5 linked regions of the Ovis aries genome follow. The protein of the gene in region 3 interacts with the protein of the main gene of each other region in a biochemical or structural test. Links are inferred from orthologs where the notes say so. Each region holds a gene or a part of one and is shown on either strand. Other genes may lie near its edges.

Region 1 (4,281 bases), on a different chromosome or scaffold from region 3:
TCGAAAGACTTGAGGCAAAGAGAAGTGCGGCGGGCACTGCGCAGAAAGAGAGGCAGTGGAACTTCCCTCAGCAAAGCCGAGGGGTCCCGAGAAGAGGTGAGCCTGCTGTCTGCAACCCAACCCCTCAGCGAGCTAAAAACAACCAGAAGCAACAAGGGCTCCGTGTAAGCAGTTCCGCTTTATTGCCACAAACTCTTGGTTTATATAGGCAAGCAAGGGGGTTTTGTGAGGGACTTTCCATAGCTGCACCAATCACATTAAAGGTCAAATCTTAATATACCATAGTTGCACCAATCACGTTAAAGGTCAAGTCGTCATGTGCTTCATCCTAACAGGACTCTATGGTGATCATGCTCTGTCCAGGTGCACGGAAATCAAGGGAGCCAATAAAAAGTTTTAACAAACAACTTACGCCACGCCCTCATCTCTTCCGCCAGGCGCCATCTTAGCTCTAAACGGCAAAGCCAGCCCCTTTTGAAGGTTTCCCATTTAGGGCCCCACAGAGAAGGATGCAGGAAAGATTGCCAACTTGAATAGGTCCCTCGTGCAGGCCAGGTAAGGCCTTACACCTGCGGAGACGAGGTATGTGTGACCATGTCATCAGTTCAGTAGCTCAGTCATGTCCGACTCTTGGCGTCCACATAGACTGTAGCATGCCAGGCTTCCCTATCCATCACCAACTCCTGGAGCTTGCTCAAACTCACGTGCGTCCAGTCAATGATGCCATCCAACCATCTCCTCTGTCGTCCCCTTCTCCATAAATGTTCCTAGCGACCTGCCTGGATGGATTTCTAGGTGATGCATGCTCGTTAAGAGGGAAGCAAAGGACTAGTGAAAGGTCTCAATGGACGCAGTTGAAGGAGAGAGGGAAGAAAGAAAAGGAAGCAGGAAGGAAGAGGGCAAAGGTTGAGGAAAGGAGGAACGGGGGAAGGGGAGGAGGGATCTACGGGGAGAAGGGGCGTCAAACGTCCCTGCCTGTCTCCTCTTATTGCGCCCAGCGCAGTCCCGTCCATTCGCTCCTTTCCGCTCTTCAGAAAAGGGAAAACCCAAATACTCCAAAGCATATGAGTAGGACCTGGGACCACTGGAGTCGAAGCCGGGATGGAAGCCCATAAGTTCGGGGGGGCGCTTCCCTCTATCCTTAGCCTGTTCTCACGTCCAGGTGGGGGTCCCAGGCCTGATGACCAGGCCAGCACTTGACACCCAGGCCCGCGGCCTGCTGTTGACTCCCGATGGGCAGGAGGGAACGCAGGCAGAGCGCGGGGAAGCGGACCCCCAGGAGAGGGCCGCACCAGAGGCGCTTGGCAGGCGGGCGCGCGTCTGGCTCCCTTGGACCTGCCCACGGCCCTCCGTCCGCCCCGCCCACCCCCGTCACTCACTTTCCTCGCAGCCAATGGCGCGGCTGCCTGTCACCCTCGCCCCGCCCCCGGAGGCGGGGCCGGGGGAGGGCGCGGGGCGGGAGTGGCCTGATTGAACTTTGCCAGCGGAGTTGCGGCGGCCGCGCGGTCCCGGGCGGCGGTGCGGAGCTGGGAGCCTCGGCCAGCGCCCGGCGCCCGCGCGCCCTCCGACCCGCAGCCATGGCTGCCGGGGCGCCCGGCGCGGCCCTGACCCTCTGCTTCTGGCTGGCGGCCTCCGGGGGCTGCCTGGCTGCCGGCTCCGGCGCGGCCGCTGCCCGGCGCTTGGATGAGTCGCTGGCGGCAGGGAGCGTACAGCGCGCCCGCTGCGCCTCCAGGTGCCTCAGCCTGCAGATCACGCGCATCTCCGCCTTCTTCCAGCACTTCCAGGTACGCACCACCGCGCGCCCGGGCCCTCCCCTGGCGCTGCGGGGCGCGCGCCTTCCAGCCTCGCCGCTCAGACTTCTCGCTCAGCGGCAGCCGGCCGGGGTCCGGCTTTACGCGCGGGGTGGATTGTACCTCGGGGGAGGGGGGCCCGTGGGCGATCCCCCTTTTGCAGCCCCTCGCCGGCTCCCGACGTAACTCCCTTCTTCCCCGGGGAAAACCAAAAGGGGGTTTCCTGTGGGAAGGGAGAGCGGTTTTGTGGCTTCCAAGGATGGAGTGGGGTGGGCTGTGGGCTTGTGAATTGCCCCGGGACCTCCGCCGCGGGGCTGCGGGCCGCTGGCCAGTCTCCCCTCAAAGTCCCCCGGCGCTCCCGGCCCTCCGCACCGCGGGCAGAGCGAGGGAGGCCCGCGCTCCGCTGCGCCCGAGGACCCTGCGCGACCAGCCCTGGCGCCGCAGGTGCCCGCCGGCCGAGACTTTTTTGTCTCTCTTGAGCTTTGCTTTCGCACTCGGCGGGCCGAGAGCGCGGAGTCCACCCTTGGAGCCCCAGCCAAGGGTCGTATCTTTCAGCGAGTTTGTGTTGGGGGTGGGGTGGGGTGGGGAGCTGGTTACTGCCGGTGACTGTGCCGCCCCAGTTCGGAGCCCCAGAGCGTCTAGGTGTCGCCAGCGAGTGGCGGGGGGACCAAGGGGAGAGATGGCAACGGATAAGGGACTTGGAGACGTCAAGTTCGGATGTTCCGAGAGGACTCCCGGAGCCAGTATCTCTTCCAACCGTCGTAGATTCTGCCGGCTTCGGGGTAGAGGGGCTCGTGTGCGTGTGTAGAGGGTTCAGGGGACAGGACGCTTGACATCAGTAGATGGCTGGGATGCTGAGAGGAGCCACAGCGGGGAGTGACTCAGGGACCCTGGGTGCCGATGGGCGCGCGGGAACCGCTCCCGAGCCGGCTCCAGGCTCGCCTCGCAGCCGCGGTCCCCAGCTGATCCGAGCGCGCGCACTCTGCAACCATTCACGCGTATAACCTAATTCCTCTCGTGTGCTCGCTTCTCGGCCTCGCCGTCTCCTCTCTAGCCTTGCAGTAGTTCACCTGTTACAAGATCCCAACTTCTGGCAGCAGGGAAAACTGCGGCTCCCAGAAAGGGGCCGCGCGGCTCCTCGGTGGGTTTCTAAGCCGAGTCCCTCTGAAATAAACGAGGCGCCTCTCGCGCTTGCGCGGCGTCAAAGGGGCCTGCCAAGGGTCCCCGGGCACTAAGCTGCGATGGGGGCCATTGCCGTGACCGTGGAGTTTGGGACGAATCTCCGAAGCCTTTAAGTCCCGTTCATTCTGGGGGGAGAGAGCTAATGAAACCTTGCCCGGAATGGCCCATGAAGAGCTAAAAGTTGGGATGTACAGAGAGTGAACCCGCTGGCCAAGTCTCCACGCGCCCGAGTGCGCGCGGTTCTGCGTGTTCGCAGAGAAGGGGCATCCGTAGGTTTCAGAGAACTCCGCCATCCCCCTTGGTCTTCGGGGAAGGGACCGGGGGGTGTGGTCTCCTGCGCTGAAATTCCGCGGACACCCTGGAGAGGGTCCCTCCCAGCCACCCGGATTCTTGCCCCCCTGCCCTACCCTGCGGTCGCTCTTCCGAGGCAATGCTACCCTATTGTTCAAACAACGACATAAAACAGCATCCTGTTCCCAGGGAGAAAGACTATCTTTTCTTTTTCTTCTTCCCTTCCTTCCTTCTTTAAATTGAACTGTCAGTCGCTGTAATTTATTTGTTTTACAGTTTCAGCGCCTAAAGAAACAGTGCAGATCAAGCCAATTCCCGTGAAAGGGTTTTCTTGTGGTCTCTTGGCATGATTTCTCTTCGGAAGAAAAAACTGCTGACAGAATACACATTGCCAGACAATCCTGATTACATTTTAATTAGCTGGGGTGGGGGGTGAACCAAGCTGCAAATTACTCAGTTAGGACTTAATAACTGCTGTTTCTGCAATCAATTGCAAAGCCATTCTTGGAGGTTTAACCCTAACCTGGTAATGCCTATCTGATTTATCTAAATTGCAGGGATTAAGCTTTCTTAAGATTTGAAAAGACAGAGGCGCACGCTCCTTATGAAACCTCAAGCTTCCACGTCCCTCCCCTCTTTAAATAATTGGAAGGATGCTGAGGTATCAGGCAGAAAGTGAACAGGAACTAAAAAGCCTCTTGATGAAAGTGAAAGTGGAGAGTGAAAAGTTGGCTCAACATTCAGAAAACGAAGATCATGGCATCTGGTCCCATCACTTCATGGGAAATAGATGGGAAACAGTGGAAACAGTGTCAGACTTTATTTTTGGGGGCTCCCAAATCACTGCAGATGGTGATTGCAGCCTTGAAATTAAAAGATGCTTACTCCTTGGAAGAAAAGTTATGACCAACCTAGATAGCGTATTGAAAAGCAGAGACATTACTTTGCCGACTAAGGTCCGTCTAGTCAAGGCTATGGTTTTTCCTGTGGTCATGTACGGATGTGAGAGTTGGACTGT
Region 2 (3,864 bases), on a different chromosome or scaffold from region 3:
ACGGCAGATCTAAAAACGGAGCGGCAGCGGTGGCCTCGCCAGTGCGCTTTCTGCACCCGAAGTAAACCGATACGTCCCAAGGAATATCTTCAGGGAGAAAGGGAGTGGGGCACTGCAGGATGCGAGGAAGGAAGCCAAGCCTGGGAGCTTCCTTCACTGGCTTCCAAAGCCCCCGGAAACCTTTCCAGGCACAAGGATGCTCACTCCCAAACCAAAGGGGACAGTGCAAAAGCGGGGGTTGATGTCGGACGCTGACATCATCGGTTTTAAAACATGGAGCAGCAGCAGCCACTTGTGACAACTTTCCAACAAGTGGAATAAACCCAGTGGAAGGGTCTCTACTGTTTTACCAGCAAAAGTCAGGCTTTGGTTCGGGGCAGGGAGGGGGGAGTTGCTTTTGTTCTTTCAGAAAAATACAAAACACATCCACAGAACCATAAATAATTTGGTGGCAATATATACACATTTAAATAATTAATTTAAATATCTTACACCTTCTCTTGCATTCAACTGTCCATTTGAAGAAAGTGCACCAAGGGGACCCTAGGTACTCCCCTCCCGGGGGGCGCTAAGGATCACAGCCTGGGTAGGAAGTGGGTGACCTTCATGGTGGGGGACACCCGGTTCCCCTTCTTGGTCTTCCCGTTCTTACTCAGGGCGATGAACATGCCGGGGTACCGGTAGCACTCGTAGGCGTTGTAGTTGTTGGGGAGAAGGATCTCTTTGAACTTGCACTCGTCGGTGAAGAAAGGCTGGGAGGGAAGGAGGAGCCGGGTCAGGGGGCCATCGCGGGCCAAGGGACCTCTGGGGCAGTGGTCAGGGACTCCTCTCTCTCCCAGCCCCTCCTTGGCTGGGGGGTCCCTCCTGAGAAGTCAGGGTATCCAGACTTTCACAGGGTGAGGAGAGGGACCCCGCCAGTCCCTAGCACCTGCCCGGCACCTGGAAGCCAGAACAGTGCATCCTCACTGGGTCTGCCTAAAGACTGCCGTCCTGCCCACTGGGACCTGCCCCAGGGGCTCCAGGCAACGGCTCCCAAGGGCACCCTTGACCCACTGGCAAATGACCGCTCAAGGATGGCGGGAGCACTGTCCCTGTCTTGGGGCTGGGCCTCTCCTTTGGGCTGGTGGGTGTCCCAGGTGGCTCAGTGGTAAAGAATCCTCCTATCAATGCAGGAGATGCAGGTTGGACCCCCAGGTTCAGGAAGATCCTTTGGAGAAGGAAACTGGCAACCTATTCACTCCAGGATTCTGGTCTGGGAAATCCCACGGACAGGGGAGCCTGGCAGGCGAGGGTCTATGGGATCGCCAAAGAAATCCAATAGGACTGGATGACTGAACAACAAGGGTAAGCGGCACTGCCTCAGGAGGCGGGGGTTACTTTCAGTCCCGCGACCCCCACCGCAGCTCCACGATCCTGGCGTCGGGTGGCCTGGAAGCGTCACGATGCTGCCCGGCTCGGCGGGGCCCACGGTACTCACCGAGCCGTAGAGCCTGCCCCGGCTGCTCATGGCCACGAAGAACCGGCTGGCCACCCCGAAAATGCTCACCACCCCGCGCTCCACCGGCGACAGCTCCAGCAGGCCTGGGGGCAGGGCGCGGGTTATTCCCGGGCACCGGACCCTCAGCCCGAGCTTCCCACCTGGCCCCCTCCTCCGCCTGCGCCCCTCCGGGACCCCCACTTCTGGGGGTGGAGATCTAAATGGCCCTGCTCCCTCCGTGGTGCAGGCCGCTCCCCAAGGGCCCCCGCAGCCCCGCGGACTCGGCCCCTGTCCCGGCCCCGCGCCGGCCGCGCCCAGTCCGGGACTGCAGGAGCGAGGTGGCCTCCTGGAGCCCCCGAGTCCGGCCCCGACGTGGGCGCTCGGGCCGGCCCCCCGCGAGTTGCCGGTGGCTGCGCCGCGCTCCTGGTGCCCACGAGCGAAGGCGCTGGAATCCGGCGCCCAGATTCCGGACTTCTGAAGGCGGGAGGCGGGCTCCGCCGCCGGGTTGCGCAAAGCCAAGAGTGTTGGCGTCCCCGGCGTCTCTACGCCGGAGGGGACCGGACCCCAAGTCCGCTCCGGTTCCCATAGCCCAAGAGCAGGTGCCGGCGAGACCTCCCTGTGCGAGCTGGAAGGGGCGGCCGCTGCCCTGGGGCCCGACCCTCCCCGTCCGGCCCGCCCCACTCACTGTCACTCGCGTCCGCGTGCACGCCGCCGATGCGGCCGTCGGGGAGAACCTGGAGGTGGAAGCCGATGCCCACGTTGCAGTACAGCCTCCGCAGGCGCTTGATGCCCAGCAAGTAGTCGCCGGCGCCGCTCTGGACGGCAGCCTCCTTGGGCTGCGCGGCCACCGGCAGGCGCGCCAGCGACCGCGCCACCAGGCTCTCCCAGCGGCGCTCCAGCTCGGCCTCCAGAGTGCCGTTGGGGGAGGTGGGCGCGGCGGCGCCCCCTCGGCCAGCCCAGGGCGCCAGCACGGCCAGCAGCACCGCCGGGAGCAGCGCCGCCGCGGCCGCCCCGGGCCCCGCCATCCCCGCCCTCGGGCCGTGCGTCCGCGGGTGGGTCAGTGCGCCCGGGAAGCCGGCGGGCGAGCTCGTCTGTGGGTGGGGGGCTTGCGGGAGCGCACTGCCTGGGCCGGGCAGGTAGTGCCCGGCCGGGGCGGGGAAAGCGGGAGGCGAGCGACGGGGCCCCCGGACGCCGGGAGCTACCTGGGCTGCATGGAGAGGCAGGCAGCGGTGGCAGGGCGCACGGCCCAGGCTGGGACCCTGCGGAGCGGTGCGCGCCTCCCTGCGCGCTGGGCCCGCAGCCGCCGAGCCGCTATATATATAGCCGATAGCCAATCCCCCCCCCCCCGCCCCTTCTACTCCCGCAGGGGGCCGTTCGCGTTCGCCTGGGCGCCCGGGGCGCTGTGGCGCTCGCGGCGGCTGGTCGCAGGCCGCCTGCCAATCAGGGCTGGGGGAGGGAAGGCGGCCGGGGCCCAGCGCCGCCGCGGCCACCGGGAGGGTCCCCGGCCCCCGCCCCTGGCTTCGCCCGGCCCCCGGACCTGGGAGTCCCGACCCTGACGTCTCCTCCGCTCTTGTCTTTCCGCCCAAGTTTGGCCTCTTGCACTTTGTCCCTGTCTGTCTGGTCTCCATGGGTGCCCCTCTCCGCCGCAGCCCTCACCCAGCACCCTCAGCTCAGAGAAGACACTCCCGGCGCTTTGCCTTTCAGGGGCTTTCCAGAACCTGTGCTCGGCTGGGACCCCCGGGGACCCACCTGGGAATGAGGGCCAGTAAGGGCAGTACACACTGGAACGGCCAGTACCAGTGAGGAAGAATCCAGCGCTACAGGCTGGAGGGAGGCAAGGACAGGGGTTGGCCACCTGAGCGCTGGTGGTCAGGGATGGAGCTATGGCCACCAGGAGGAAGCATGCCCTGAGCAGGTTGCCTGGATGGCTGGTGCTGAGAGAAGACAGGGCGAGTCGGTGCACCCCAAGGCCACTGGCCCTGCACCCCCATACACACCCACTGCCACACGAGGACAGGGGTCCGAGCCAGAGAGGACATCGCTGGCCCCCCCCCCTCCCCTTCCCTTTAATTCTGCAGTGGGAATACTGAGGAGCCAAAGGCAGAATCCCTAGGCCCAGGCCAGGCTTTGGACAGGCTCCCTTCCCCCACCTGCTGTCCCCACCCCCCACCCCCACTGTGCCCATTATGGCCTGATGGGGCGGCGTCCAGCAAGATGCTGGCTCACCCAGGTGTGAAAACCCCTGTTCTCAGTAGTACCTGGAGAGGCTGCAGTCACCTCCCAGCAGCCCCGCCCAGCCGCCACTGCAGGGGGCCCAGAGCCACCCTACCCCCTGCTGTCACCAGGACCTGTGACCAGATGCGTCATCCCGAGGCCGTTTCAGCCTC
Region 3 (4,188 bases):
ACCCCGGCAGCTTCCCAGTCCCCAAACACCTGGCATTCCTCGGGGTGGGGGGGGGGGGGGGGGGGGGGGGGGGGGGGGCGGTCCACGGCAGCAGCCCTGGAGGTCTTCCCAGCCATTTGGGGGCGGGGGCGGGGAGGGGGTAGAATACGTAAACAAGTCATTAGGGAGGCAGGCCATCCTCCCTAAGGTCTCTGGGTCTTCCCCACCAACACCACCAAGGGCTTCCCCTGGGTCACTGGAAGGAAGGCTGATGACCCAGGCTTGGGGCGGGGGGGGGCGGGGGGGGTGTAATTAACCAGACGGAGGCACGTCCCAAGGGGCCCTGCTACTTAGCCTTTAAACAAGCCTCAGGGAGGAAACGGGGAGCCCGGGCCAATAGTTCGGGGGTGGGGGGTGGGGGAGGATGGGGAATGGCCACTTTCTGCCCCACAGTCTCAAGGCTAAGGTTGTATAATTTAGACTGTTTTCCAAAAAAAGCGCAGGGCCGGAGGTGCAGAGGATAGAGCGCCATCTGCGGAGGAAACAGTCACCTTAATTACCATGTCTAGAGAAAGTGCGATTTCATTACAGCCTCCGAACGACCGCCCAAAGGAGGAAACCAGAGAAGTGTTTTCAATTTGAAAGAGGCTGGAGAGGAGAGGGTGAGAGACCAACTCTCCCCACCCTCTCGCAACTTTGGAACCAGAAAGCCCTTTCCTGCCTCAAAGGGCAGAACCAAAAACCCTCAACAGGCCAACCCCTTTCAAACCTGCGGCCGGCGCGGACTTGGTAAAACGCCCCACGTTAGCCTCCGGGAGCGGCCGCCCAAAGAAAGAACTCCTTCAAAACACCAAGGGAGCCACAGCCCGGGCCCCCCTCCCACGCCCAAGCCGCTGCGCCCCGGGCTTGCTCCAGGGAGGGTGGAAAAGGGGACGCGTGACGCCACCGCCGGGCGGCCCGAGACCCGGCGGCGGGCTCCGGACAGGGTCAGACACTCCCGCCGCTCCGGCTCTAACTGAAAAGGGAGGAGGCTGCAATGCTCCGGTTCCAGAAACTTCTGTCAGGGCCAGCTCTGGGTCAGACCGGTGGCCAAAGAGGCCACCACTTATCAGAGGAGATATTGTCATCCCCTAAACCTCCTCTCGCCGGCAATGCCCCTTTCCCGCACGAGCCAGAAAGCGCCAGCACAGCCTAAGTACCCTGGCATCCAGGGTAACTTCTCTCCCCCAGTCCCAGCGCCTCGTACCCAAGTCTTAAGAAAAAATCGTAAAGAGCGAGGTGGTGAGGACAAGTTATAGGATCCCTGTTTCGATCCGGGGGAGGGGGCAGGGAGGAACAGGGACGTTCAAGCGGCTGCGGTGTACCCGGGTGGGGTGAAACGGAACCAGATGCGGCGGCTACATCTGGAAAATGGGGCGGGGGTGGGGGGAGTGGTGATGGGGAGGTGGTGGGGAGACACGGCGGAAACTTTGAACAGGGCCAAAGCCTCTGGGTCCAGACAAGAGATGCAGGTTTCACCGCTCCCCAAGCCCTCCACTCCCCAACCAGAGGCATCTGACTGCTTCCATAGGATCTGGGTTAAATGATCGCATCTACAACGTCAATAAATTCCTCTGCAAACGAAGGTTCCAGCCCCCCTCTTCTCCTCACCCCAAACATAGCGGGAAAGGGGAGCGGGAAGGGGGCAGAGGGTTCTGGGCCCGCGAAGCAACAAGCGCCGGTGCCGAGCGAACCGCACCGGACAAAACCCTCATCCCTTCCCCCACCTCCTCGAACCAGATAGGAACTGACCAATCCCTTCCCCCAGACCCCGTAATGGGGCTTAACCTCACCCGCTGGGCGCCCTCCCCTTCCCCAAACTTCCGACCCTTTCAGAGACGGACTAAGTCGGAGATCAGCGCCTCTCGAAAAAGGGAATTCCTTTCTCGCTCTTCGCTGAAGCAGCTTCAGCCATTTGGTGACGACACCCCCCTTTAAAACCGACTGGAAGAGAAGCGAACCGACCCCTCCACTTCCTTCCCCTTTCAGGCCCCCAACCGCCCACCCGCCTGCGGCAGTGACCCCAGACTTTCCCGGAGATGGAAAAGGACTTAGGAGGACCCCGGGTTTTTTCTTTTTTCTTTTTTTTAGCGTTCCACCCAAAGCTACCTGCTGGATCGCGGAGACTCCCCATGGGTGGACTAAAAGGAGATGGTGTGGAACGCAACACACACACACACACACACCCCACCGCGCTGCCCGCCCCCGCCTGCCTCCCCAGGCCCAGGAAACCCAGGACCGCCGCCGCCTCGGCCCCGGGCCCTGTCCCTCCCCGGACTCACCGCGGAGCCGCCGCCGCCTCGCCAGCTCCCCAGCGCGAGTTGGCGGAAAAGTTGGGCGGCGGGACGGGCGCGGGGAGGGGGCGCAGAAGGCGACGCGAGCGGAGGGAAGGGAGGGGAGACAAAAGGGGGGCGCCGGGAGCTGGGCAGGGAGCCGGGGGTGGAGAGGGGCGGGTAACGAGCGGAGGGAGGCGCCGGACCCGACTGCGCTGCGGCGGGGAGAGCGCGCGGCCGGGAGGCTCCGGCGCCGGGGGCCCGCCCGGGACGCGGAGCCCGCCCCGGATCCGGGGGCGCCGCGGCTCTTACCTCACTCGGCGCTGCGGTTCCGCCTCTGGAGAGTCCGCCGTGGCTCGTGCGGGCGGGCGGGCGTCCGCGTCCCTGGCTCCGGCCCGCCGCCCCCGGGCTCCGCTCGGGTCCTGGCGGGGCCGCAGGAGCCCCCGCGGCCGGCGCTCGACTGCCGGTGGCGCTCGGGGCTCGGCGCCTCCAGCCCGGGCGGGAACAATGGAGCCGAAGCTGGTGCCCCGGAGGCGGGGCGGGGGGAGGGCTCCTGTCCGCCGCCCGGGGTCTCCAGACCCTGTGGGCCCCCCCTCTCCAGCACCGGGCGGCGGCCCTCAAGCTTCTGGCAGCCCGAGCTCCATCGCCTGGCGGGGGCCCCGGCGCCGCGGCGTGCCCGACTGCCGCCCTGGTCCCCTGCGCCCGGCGGGGCGCCCCTCGGACCGGAGAAAAGTCCTCGGGCTCCGCCGCTCTTCCAGCTGCGGCGCGCGCTCTCGGCCGGGGAAGGCGAGGTCGCCGCAATGCGCTAAGCGGAGTCTCGGGGCTGTCCGGACGTCGCCGCCCAGCTCTGGGCACAGCCCGGGCTCCTCCGCGCGCTGCGGCTGGACCAGACTTCGGGCTCCCGCGTCGCGCCGCAGCCACAGCCGAGGCCGCCGCGCCAGTGCCCGCAGGAGCGCTCCGAGCGCTATGCGCCGGCAAGGCGCGAGGGCTCCTTCTCTCACTCCCACCCCACGCTGGTCCCACCTCCTCCTCCTCCCCCTGCCGCTGCCTGCTGGGCCTTGTAGTTCTGAGCCGAGGGCCCCCGAGAAGGGGGGAGCGGGTTGAGTCGCCCTGCGCTCTGCTGCTCCTTTGCCTCAGTCTGTCTGGCCTCCTTTGACGCGCGCCCGCCCCTCCAACTGAGCCCCTCCCGGAGGGCGCACGAATTTCGGGCTGTGGACGGATGAGCAGTTGGAGGGATGGAGATGAGACCCTGAAGCCCTCAGGTTGCACACGGTAGCACTTTGGACTCTGACCGAGTGCCCTGGGGAAACGATGTTCTCGCTCTGTATCTCAGTTTTCACATCTGTAAAAGAGGATAGCGAAGAGATCAAACCAGTCAATCCTAAAGGTCAGTTCAGTTCAGTCGCTCAGCCGTGTCCGACTTTTTGCCACCGCATGGACTGTAGCACGCCAGGCTTCCCTGTCCATCATCAACTCCCCGAGCTTGCTCAAACTCATGTCCATCGAGTTGGTGATGCCATCCAACCATCTCATCCTCTGTCGTCCCCTTCTTCTGCCTTCAATCTTTGCCAGCATCAAAGTCTTTTCCAATGACTCAGTTCTTCGCATCAGATGCCCAAAGTATGGGAGCTTCATTTTCAGGATCAGTCCTTCCAGTGAGTATTCAGGACTGATTTCCTTTAGGATAGACTGGTTGGATCTCCTTGCAGTCCAAGGGACTCTCAAGAGTCTTCTCCAACACCGCAGTTCAAAAGCATCAACTCTTCGGTGCTCAGCTTTCTTCATGGTCCAACTCTCACATCCATACATGACTACTGGAAAAACCATAGCTTTGACTAGATGGATCTTTGTTGGCAAAGTAATGTCTCTGCTCTTTTATTTGCTGTCTAGGTTGGTT
Region 4 (4,288 bases), on a different chromosome or scaffold from region 3:
GGTCCCTGTGCTCCTCCCTTCCTGCTCCCTCACCCTTTTGTGCAGCCACACAGTCCCAGTCTAAGAGTGACAGTCATAGTCTATCACCGTTGTCATGAATAACAGCTTACATTTATTAAACATTTAGAACGTATCCAGCAGCACAGGAGTTGAAGGCAAGGTTGGATTTGAAGCCCACGTATATTGTCTTACATTAATCCTCTCCTTTATCCCCCTAGAATAACCCCATTTGGTGGAGATATTATTACTCCCACTTTACAGATGGTGACACTAAGGCTCAGAGAACTAGCTGGCTGGGGGCGATACACAACTAATACATACGGGCTTCAAACCCAACCTTGCCTTCAACCGCTGGGCTGCACTTCAACTGCCTGCTGGTCCCATGCACGGTGTGAAACACAGCCTCTCAGCCAGGAGAAGTCTACCTGGGAACCTCAGCCAGCTGCTACCAATTCAGGAGAGCCCGGGGAATCCACAGACACATGGAAGGGCCATGCCTGGAGTCTGACGCCAGGGTGATGTCCCTCCAGTCCTCTGCAGGATATGTCCTTCCTCCACTCTGGAATCCAGCCTCTCAAATTCTCTAACATTTTCTCCTGCAGGCTGCCAGGGCCCGAGGAGGGGTCACGGAGGAAGGTGGCTGTCGTGTGGAAGTTCAGCAGCTGTGTGAGATCTGGAGTGTGTGGCTGAGGATGGCTGTCTCACCACAAGACCTTCCTTCCTCCCCGTCTCCTCAGTCATCTACACGCCATACCCAAGGTCTGGAAGACCTTCTCTTGGGGGGTGTCACTTCCTGAACCCTCTTCCTCTACACAGTCCTAATTCTGAGCCTGGCTCTAACTCCAGTCTCGGGGTGGGGGTGGGGGTAGAGGGGGTTCTTGCAGGAAGCAACCCACAGCCTGGGGTTGCAGACACATCATCTCACACTTGGAGGTGGGCGAATGGAGGGCAGAGCTGGGGGGCCCATCCGGCCACAGCACAGGCACGCACTCAGTGGAATCACTCTCTGAAGGATCTGGGGTTTTTCAAAATCCCCCAACACACTCTTTCCCAGAAGCAGCCAAGGTCAGGTCTGGGACAGCAAAGAGGCAGGAAATAGTAGCCGCTCCTGGCTCCCTCCAGCCACAGGACGCAGGACACAAAGAGCTGGACCCCAATTTGGCTGCGTCCTCTTGAAGAGTACCTGACACGAAGCAGCGAGGCTGGGCTTTCTGGGGCCAAGCTCTGGAGAATGTGCTTCCAAAGGACAAGGGGAAGGCTGGCCTCTTTCCCTGCCCTGGCTTTGGGAGTCTGCCCACGCACACAGACCTCCAAAATTCAGTTTCAGGACAAAAGAAGCGGCGGGAAAAACATCCACTGCCTCCTCTCGGGCTTTTCCAAACCAAACAAGACCACCTTCCTCCCTGGCCCCAAGAGAGAGATGAGTAGGCCCGGCTCTGCTCCAAAACCAGCCCTACGCCAACAGCTGCCTAAGTTCTACTTGGGGAACCCAAAGGTTCCTTTGTAAGTAGGAGCCCGGCCGTGAGGCCCAGAGGTGCACCAGATTGCTCTTTTTGGAAAAACGGTGCATCTGGTCTGGCCTCCGGTTCCGCGGCTGCCGGGGAGAGGACACTGCCTCGGCCGACACCGCTCCCGGGGTGTCGGGGGACCCGACGCCGGCCCCGCTGGTCTCCAACTCGCTAGGATTTTTAGGCCTCTGGGCAAAGCGCCTGGAACACTCCCCCCCTTGCTGGGGGAGGGGGTGTCCTGTCAGGTGACTGAGGACCCGGATGCCCCCCGCCCCCGGTGACCACCCTGGCCGAGGCGGGGGCGGGGCCCGAAAGTTCGCCGGAGTCTCTCCAGCGGCGGCCCCCGGGCGCGCGCAAGCCGGGGCGCAGACCCCGCGCCGCCCGAGCGCGCGCGCCCGCGCAGCAGGCCCGGGGAGCCGGGGGTGTGCAGCGAGGGGGAGCGCACTTACTGGCCCCCTCGATCTTGTCGGCGCCTCGGCTCCACGTGATCTGCCGCGTCTCCAGCTTGACCTGGAAGGTCTTCCGCTCGGGCCGCTGCGACTTCTTGGAGTAGAACAAAGTCATGACGGTGCCCACCTCGAGGCTGCGGCAGAGGTGCACCACCTCGGCGTCCGAGGGCGCGCCGGGCCCGCAGCCATTGGCGCAGGGGGACGCGGCGCCCGCCATGGCTCGGGTGCCGGGGGCGGCGGCGGCGGCGCAGGCCCGGCGGGAGCGAGCTGGCGGCGGCGGCGGCGGCGCAGGCGGCGGGCGAGCGGACCCCGGCGGCGGCGGCTCCTGCGGGCGGAGACGGGGCGGGGCCTGAGCGGGGGCGGGGCGGTCCTGCAGGCCCCGCCCCGGCCCGCGCGCCGGGAACAAAGGCGCCCGCGCGCCCGTGGGGAGGACCCCCGCCCGCCGCGCCTGCGCCCCGAGACCCCCCGGGCAGGCCCCGCGTCAGGGCACGCGCGCGCGCGCCTCCCGCAGTCCGCCAGCCGGGCCCACGGCCCCGCGGGGTCTCTTCGCGCCGCCCCGGACACAGCCCGGCTGCCACGGCCGGTCCCGTCACGCGCGGCAGCCTCGCGCCGGCCCGGCCGTCTGTCGCGCGCGCACAGGCGGCTGCCCAGCCCACCGTCCCGCACAGGCCCGGCCGCGGCGGCTCCTTCCGAAGCCCGCTAGCGGGGCGACGCCCGCGCGGCCACCGGGAAAAGAAGTGCAGGCCCGGGGCGCCTCCCGGGGCCCGCCGGTCAAACCCGGTACCTGGGAGGGCTGCCCGGCTGAGGGAACCAGGCCAGGCCGGGCCGCCTTAGACCGGCGGCGGCGGCGGCGGCGGCGGCGGCGGAGGAGGAGGCGAGTCCTCCGCGCGTCCTCTCCAGGGCGGGGCGGGGGCGGGGCCACCCGGTGATTGGTCGGCAGGCTCTGACGGACAGTCTGAGTGTCCCGCCTCTCCCCCCTCCCTTCCCCGGGCAGCCGGGGGCGGCCCCGCCGGCAGCGCCTCCGACCGTCGGACCCACGATCTTCCTGGCCCTGCGGCCGAAGTGGCCTCGCGGGTGTGTGTGGGGAGTCCCGTTATTCGGAGTAGCCCACAGGCCTGAGCATCCCCTGCGAGCCCTCCAGTGGTCTTGGCCTGGCCATACACTTCGCACCCCCACGCCGCGAGTATCCACGCGACTAGGATGGGGACTCAGGCCCTACGGCTCCGCACCATTCCTGCAAATGCTCTCCCGAGCTTTGGTTTTCCCGGGCCGACTCTATCCCTGTTTTCCTCCTCGGTCTCTGGCCGCTGCCTTTCGACACCTCAGCAACTTCTCTTGCTCAGGGGTGGGTCCTGAGTCAGTTCCCAAGGCGGCCTGACCTCTCAGCGTCACTGCCCCCCGCCCCCTGCCAAATTCAGGCACCCGAGCGCCGAAGCTCTATCCCTCCCTGCATCCCGTTACCTGTTCCACAACCCCACGTAGCACAGACATCTCACATCTCTCTTCAAATTGCTTCTCCCATGGTCTTCAGTTTCTCAGAACATGCCTCTGGTAAGGTGCTCGGGCTAAAACCGATGGAGACAGCCTTGGTTCCTCTCTCTCTCTCCCTCAACCCCACAGCACTCCGTCAAGTCCCATTCCGTCTGCCGTCCCATGTCTCCGCTCTGCCCACAACCTCAAGGCCCATCTTCTCTCATCCAGACTATTTACCCTCCTTGGTTTTGCCTGCATGTATTCCCTATGCTCTAGTTTGTTTGTTTCTTTTTAAATTTGGCTGTACCGGGTCCTAGTTGCAGCATGCAGGATCTTTTAGTTGGGGGCTGTGGGATCTAGTTCCCTGACCAGGGATCGAACCCAGGCCCCCTTTGTTGGGAGTGCAGTCTTAGCCATTGGACCACTAGGGAAGGCCCTATGCTCTGGTCTTCAAAATGAAATTAAATCCTGACTCCCTACCTCCAGGCTCAAATCATCCAGAACTTGCCATGGCACACAAAATCCCCTACCTGGCCCAGCAGGTCCAGCATGGTCTGGCCCCTTTCTATCCCACTTCATCTCTCACCACCTCCCTTTCATTCCATTCTCCAGGCACAAGTTCTTTTGGTGATTATTCGATTAATCTGTACTCTTTGTGTTGCTACAGCCACTCCCTAGACGCACCCCGGGCCGTCTAATTGCCCTGTCACAGAACACCGCCCAAGCTAAAGACACCTTCAGTCACAGTAGAGCCTGTCTGACGGATGTTGAGCCAGACAAAGCAGGACAGCATACTGCATTTTACAGGTAAGAGGCCCAGCAGGGCACCCAGCTGATGCTAGAGAAAGATCCAAGGAG
Region 5 (3,947 bases), on a different chromosome or scaffold from region 3:
ATGAATGAGCCAGTATATATTTATTACTGGAGTTCCAGCTGTAAAATTCAGGTAAGAAGTTTAAATATACCCTAGAGTATTATTTTAAAATAAATGTGTTTCTTTCAAATAGAATACCAACCTTGGTCTATGACATTTAGGGGAGAAATTAAAATATTAAACTTTTATTACCTAGTAAACTGAAAATAAAGTAAAGGTTAAATAAATACAAAGCAGAAAAAAATGTATATATATACAAAATCACAACGTCTAAAAGGACAAACAGTTTACTGTTCTCTCCTGCGGGAGCTTTATCAGCAGTAGTAAGTAATTCCATCTTTAGGTCAGTGCTAGTACTCAAAAATGTAAACAAGTATGTACTTTGTCTATATAAAGAAATATGCCATACGGTTTATACTTCTTTATAGATATCAAACAACTAAATGAATTGTTTCAATGCACCAGTAGGGGCCAGCAAAGAGCTCTTAGAGTTTTTCAGAATAGAGTTGGCATTGAGATATGTTTATTTGATGTGTTAAATCCTTTTTAGACTTCTTTACTTACCACAACACTCTCTTAAGTGAATGAATTGCATAGACAGTGGAATAAAATATCTTGTGTGCTCAAACTATATTAGGGTATAGTTTTTCTGTCTAATCTGCATATATTTTTAATGGAATGTTTGCTTAGGCTATTTCTTGGCAGAGTTTTAATAGTCAAAATATAAATGGAATCATTTAAAGACTGTACTGCTTGGCTGGAAAGGCCTTAAAATTACAGGAGAAAATGCTTGGTGACAGCTTCTCACAAACGTTTTTTTTCTCAGACCTATGCTCAATTTTTGCAATGGTATTACTAGGCAAATTTTGTATTTCGATCCTTCAGCTTTCACTTTTTATAAGTACGTAGTGTTTTGGAAACTAAAATATTTATGTTTGGTTTAATGCTAAACTTTCAATTCACCCCCGCAGTTTTGGTGTTTCCAAATATATACAAACATTTGAACTTTCTCCTTTTAAAAATATTAACAGTCTATATTCCTTTCTACATTTACTAAGTTGACTGGATTCCTAGTATGGCCACTATTTGGAAATGCAATCCTTGATTTGATACTCAATTACATGGAGTTTCGTTCCTACCAACTTCCTGTAATTCTATCCCTATGGGTAAAAATATTAGTGGTCAAACTCTGCTGGAGAAAGTATAGGCACCGTGATTCACAGAGTTAAATGTTCATTTAGTAGAGCTGGAGTGAAAAAAATACTGTTTCAACTTGAAATGCTAGAAGATTGTTGTTCTTGTGTTACTCATTCATGCAAATTGGAGAAGGTATAATTGAAACAAGGTTGGCAGTGTTTGAGGCAGTGTGCTGCAGCTGAGCTCAGCTTAAAGGTCGCTGGAAATCAAGTGCTTTGTAAGTGAAGGCATTTTGACTACAAGCGATTCAAGACATTTTGGAAACGTCAGTCTCAGGAATGGGCCGTCTTTTTCTTTCATATGCTATCTGGTCTTTAAGATTTTGCTTAGGATAAAGACTACTACTTCTGAGCTCTTTCAGGCACACAAATGATTTTTTCTTTTGCTGCAGTGCAGCTGCTTCTAGCCTGTCTACCGACAGAGATCTTTGTTATGACTCTCAGCCCTTAACATGTTTGGAAATGAGAACAAATGGCACAAAGCTTACGATTGCACTTTGCAGCCAGAAGAAGCAATACTTATCCTTTGTCAGAAACCTCCGGAGATGATTTGGATAGCAGCATTCACATGTGCTTCACGAGACCAGCACGGATTTCAACGGCGAACGTGGTTCAAATGAAGCTGACTCCCAAACAGACTGCATTAGCTCCGTTAATAAAGGAAAACCTTAAGTCTCGGGAAAGATCATCTTTTCCTTCACCTGAAAATGTTCATAAAAAGAGCAGCTGTCTGCAGATATCATTACAACCAACAAGGTACAGTGGATGTCTTCAGTCTGGCAATGTCTTAGCTGATGGTGATGATGCTTCATTTACTTGTGTCTTAAAGGATGGCAGTGCTGTGGTTGATAACGAACTGAATGCCACGGATGATGGTAACCTCTTAAGCAGTCCTGCCATTTGCAGTGGTAGTCTTGGTAACTTTTCAGCCAGTGAAAATGGGTCTTACAGCAGCAATGGTAGTGATTATGGGTCCTGCACAAGTATCACCAGTGGAGGTTCATACACCAACAGTAGCATCAGTGACAGCAGTGGTTATACTTTTCCACCAACTGATGATACCTTTTTTGGTGGAAATTTATCTTCTGACAGCGCCTCCAATAGAAGTGTGCCAAACAGGAATACTGCTCCATGTGAAATTTTCTCAAGTACAAGTACAGTTCCCTTTGTCCAGGATGACTTGGATCATGGACTAGAGATTATGAAATTGCCAGTGAGCAGGAACTCGAAAATTCCACTAAAACGTTGTTCATCCTTAGTCATTTTTCCTAGGAGTCCTTCAAATACACCACCAACTTCTCCAACAAGTACAGGTACTCTTCCAAGCAAAGGATCCTATCAGACCTCACACCAGTTTATTATTTCTCCTAGTGAAATTGCCCACAGTGAAGATGGCACTAGTGCTAAGGGATTTCTTTCAACAGCTGTCAATGGACTTCGGTTATCCAAGACAGTCTGTACTCCCGGAGAAGTAAGAGACATACGACCTCTTCACAGGAAGGGCTCATTACAAAAGAAAATCATTATTGCAAATACTAGTCCAAATCAGACTGTCTGTGAACAGCCATCTGAAGGATATTCTTGTGTTTCACTGCATTTTACCCAACAGAAAGCAACTGCATTAGATTGTGAAGCAGCAAATGGTGATTGTAAACCAGAGATGTCAGAAACTGAGCTTAATTCTGATCCAGAGTTTATTAAGCTTATGCATAGGACATCTGCATGTTTACCATCCTCCCAAAATGTAGATTATCAAATAAATATCAGTGGACAGTTGGAAAGACCAAATTTACAGATAAACAAAAACCATGCTCTTTTACAGAGAAGTATTTCATTGGGGGGAACTTATCCAAATGTTTCCTGTTTATCTAGCCTTAAGCACAATTGTTCTAAGGGGGGACCATCTCAATTACTCATAAAGTTTGCATCTGGAAATGAAGGTAAAGTTGATAATTTAACCAGAGACAGCAACAGAGATTTCACAAATGAACTACCTAATTCTTTAAAGCATTCTTATAAGGTAAGTTTCCTTTGGTTTTGGAAAATGTTAGTTTATACTAGAATAGCTCTGTGAAATATTTGGTAAAATTTATTATAACTTGGCTGCTTTATATATTTTCTTGGTCCTTAGCTAGCAAGTACTTTGTAGTCATGAATTTGATATTTGTGAATCTGAAAAGTGCCTAATAGTTTTTTACTCTATTTATTATTTTATCAGCATACAAGATATGCATTAAAAAAAAACCTTTCCAAAGTGATTTAAGCCATAAAACATTCTGTAGCATAAGAACAGGCTTTAAATAATAATTTTTTAATAATATTTTGCCTTAGTATATTTTCCCTTAGTATATTTTCCCCTTGAGTGGCATGGTGTTTTAAAGTCTAACTCCGTATTTCATTCTTATTTTCAAAAATGCTCATTTAGTATTTATTTTAAAGCATTATAAATGCTTTAAGCATTAAGCATTTTGAAAAAAAAGCCCTTTTAAGCCCTCTTTAAGCATTATGAAAAAAAGTAAAATATAGAAAGCCACTTAAAGTATTAAACAGTAAAAAGTCTACTTAAATGTGAAACTTTTCTTATAGGTGAACATAGAGAAAATATTTCTTTGAAATACATATATTTATTTGATCATTGATAAAAACTATTATACTGAATGTTTAAAGCAGAGGAAAAATAAATGGTATTTGCATTTGTATATACCCTTAACCACAGGAATTTTGTTCCACCCTGTTTTTCTTTAGCTACCAGTTAAGGGTGCCTTCTAAAAT

The links.
Region 1: the proteins of FGFR1 (region 3) and anosmin-1 form a complex in vitro, tested with the Homo sapiens proteins (3 studies listed by BioGRID and IntAct, with this or other methods). The link is inferred for Ovis aries from reciprocal best matches to the Homo sapiens genes FGFR1 and ANOS1.
Region 2: the proteins of FGFR1 (region 3) and FGF4 form a complex in vitro, tested with the Homo sapiens proteins (2 studies listed by BioGRID and IntAct, with this or other methods). The link is inferred for Ovis aries from reciprocal best matches to the Homo sapiens genes FGFR1 and FGF4.
Region 4: the proteins of FGFR1 (region 3) and PLCG1 form a complex in vitro, tested with the Homo sapiens proteins (4 studies listed by BioGRID and IntAct, with this or other methods). The link is inferred for Ovis aries from reciprocal best matches to the Homo sapiens genes FGFR1 and PLCG1.
Region 5: the proteins of FGFR1 (region 3) and NEDD4 form a complex in vitro, tested with the Homo sapiens proteins (2 studies listed by BioGRID and IntAct, with this or other methods). The link is inferred for Ovis aries from reciprocal best matches to the Homo sapiens genes FGFR1 and NEDD4.

What each region holds. Positions count from the first base shown.
Region 1 is NC_056080.1:1,335,053-1,339,333, forward strand, and holds the start of anosmin-1, read left to right. Parts: upstream 1-1,481; 5' UTR 1,482-1,577; coding exon 1,578-1,784; intron 1,785-4,281. UniProt on the Homo sapiens protein: Has a dual branch-promoting and guidance activity, which may play an important role in the patterning of mitral and tufted cell collaterals to the olfactory cortex. Chemoattractant for fetal olfactory epithelial cells.
Region 2 is NC_056074.1:43,392,260-43,396,123, forward strand, and holds FGF4 (fibroblast growth factor 4), read right to left. Parts: upstream 2,503-3,864; coding exon 2,163-2,502; intron 1,582-2,162; coding exon 1,478-1,581; intron 753-1,477; coding exon 576-752; 3' UTR 501-575; downstream 1-500. UniProt on the Homo sapiens protein: Plays an important role in the regulation of embryonic development, cell proliferation, and cell differentiation. Required for normal limb and cardiac valve development during embryogenesis.
Region 3 is NC_056079.1:32,688,206-32,692,393, forward strand, and holds the start of FGFR1 (fibroblast growth factor receptor 1), read right to left. Parts: upstream 2,801-4,188; 5' UTR 2,604-2,800; intron 2,342-2,603; exon of another isoform or gene 2,301-2,341; intron 1-2,300. UniProt on the Homo sapiens protein: Tyrosine-protein kinase that acts as a cell-surface receptor for fibroblast growth factors and plays an essential role in the regulation of embryonic development, cell proliferation, differentiation and migration.
Region 4 is NC_056066.1:69,782,727-69,787,014, reverse strand, and holds the start of PLCG1 (1-phosphatidylinositol 4,5-bisphosphate phosphodiesterase gamma-1), read right to left. Parts: upstream 2,801-4,288; 5' UTR 2,742-2,800; exon of another isoform or gene 2,389-2,741; intron 2,283-2,388; 5' UTR 2,175-2,282; coding exon 1,958-2,174; intron 1-1,957. UniProt on the Homo sapiens protein: Mediates the production of the second messenger molecules diacylglycerol (DAG) and inositol 1,4,5-trisphosphate (IP3). Plays an important role in the regulation of intracellular signaling cascades.
Region 5 is NC_056060.1:52,607,912-52,611,858, forward strand, and holds the start of NEDD4 (E3 ubiquitin-protein ligase NEDD4), read left to right. Parts: upstream 1-1,147; 5' UTR 1,148-1,647; coding exon 1,648-3,195; intron 3,196-3,947. UniProt on the Homo sapiens protein: E3 ubiquitin-protein ligase which accepts ubiquitin from an E2 ubiquitin-conjugating enzyme in the form of a thioester and then directly transfers the ubiquitin to targeted substrates. Specifically ubiquitinates 'Lys-63' in target proteins.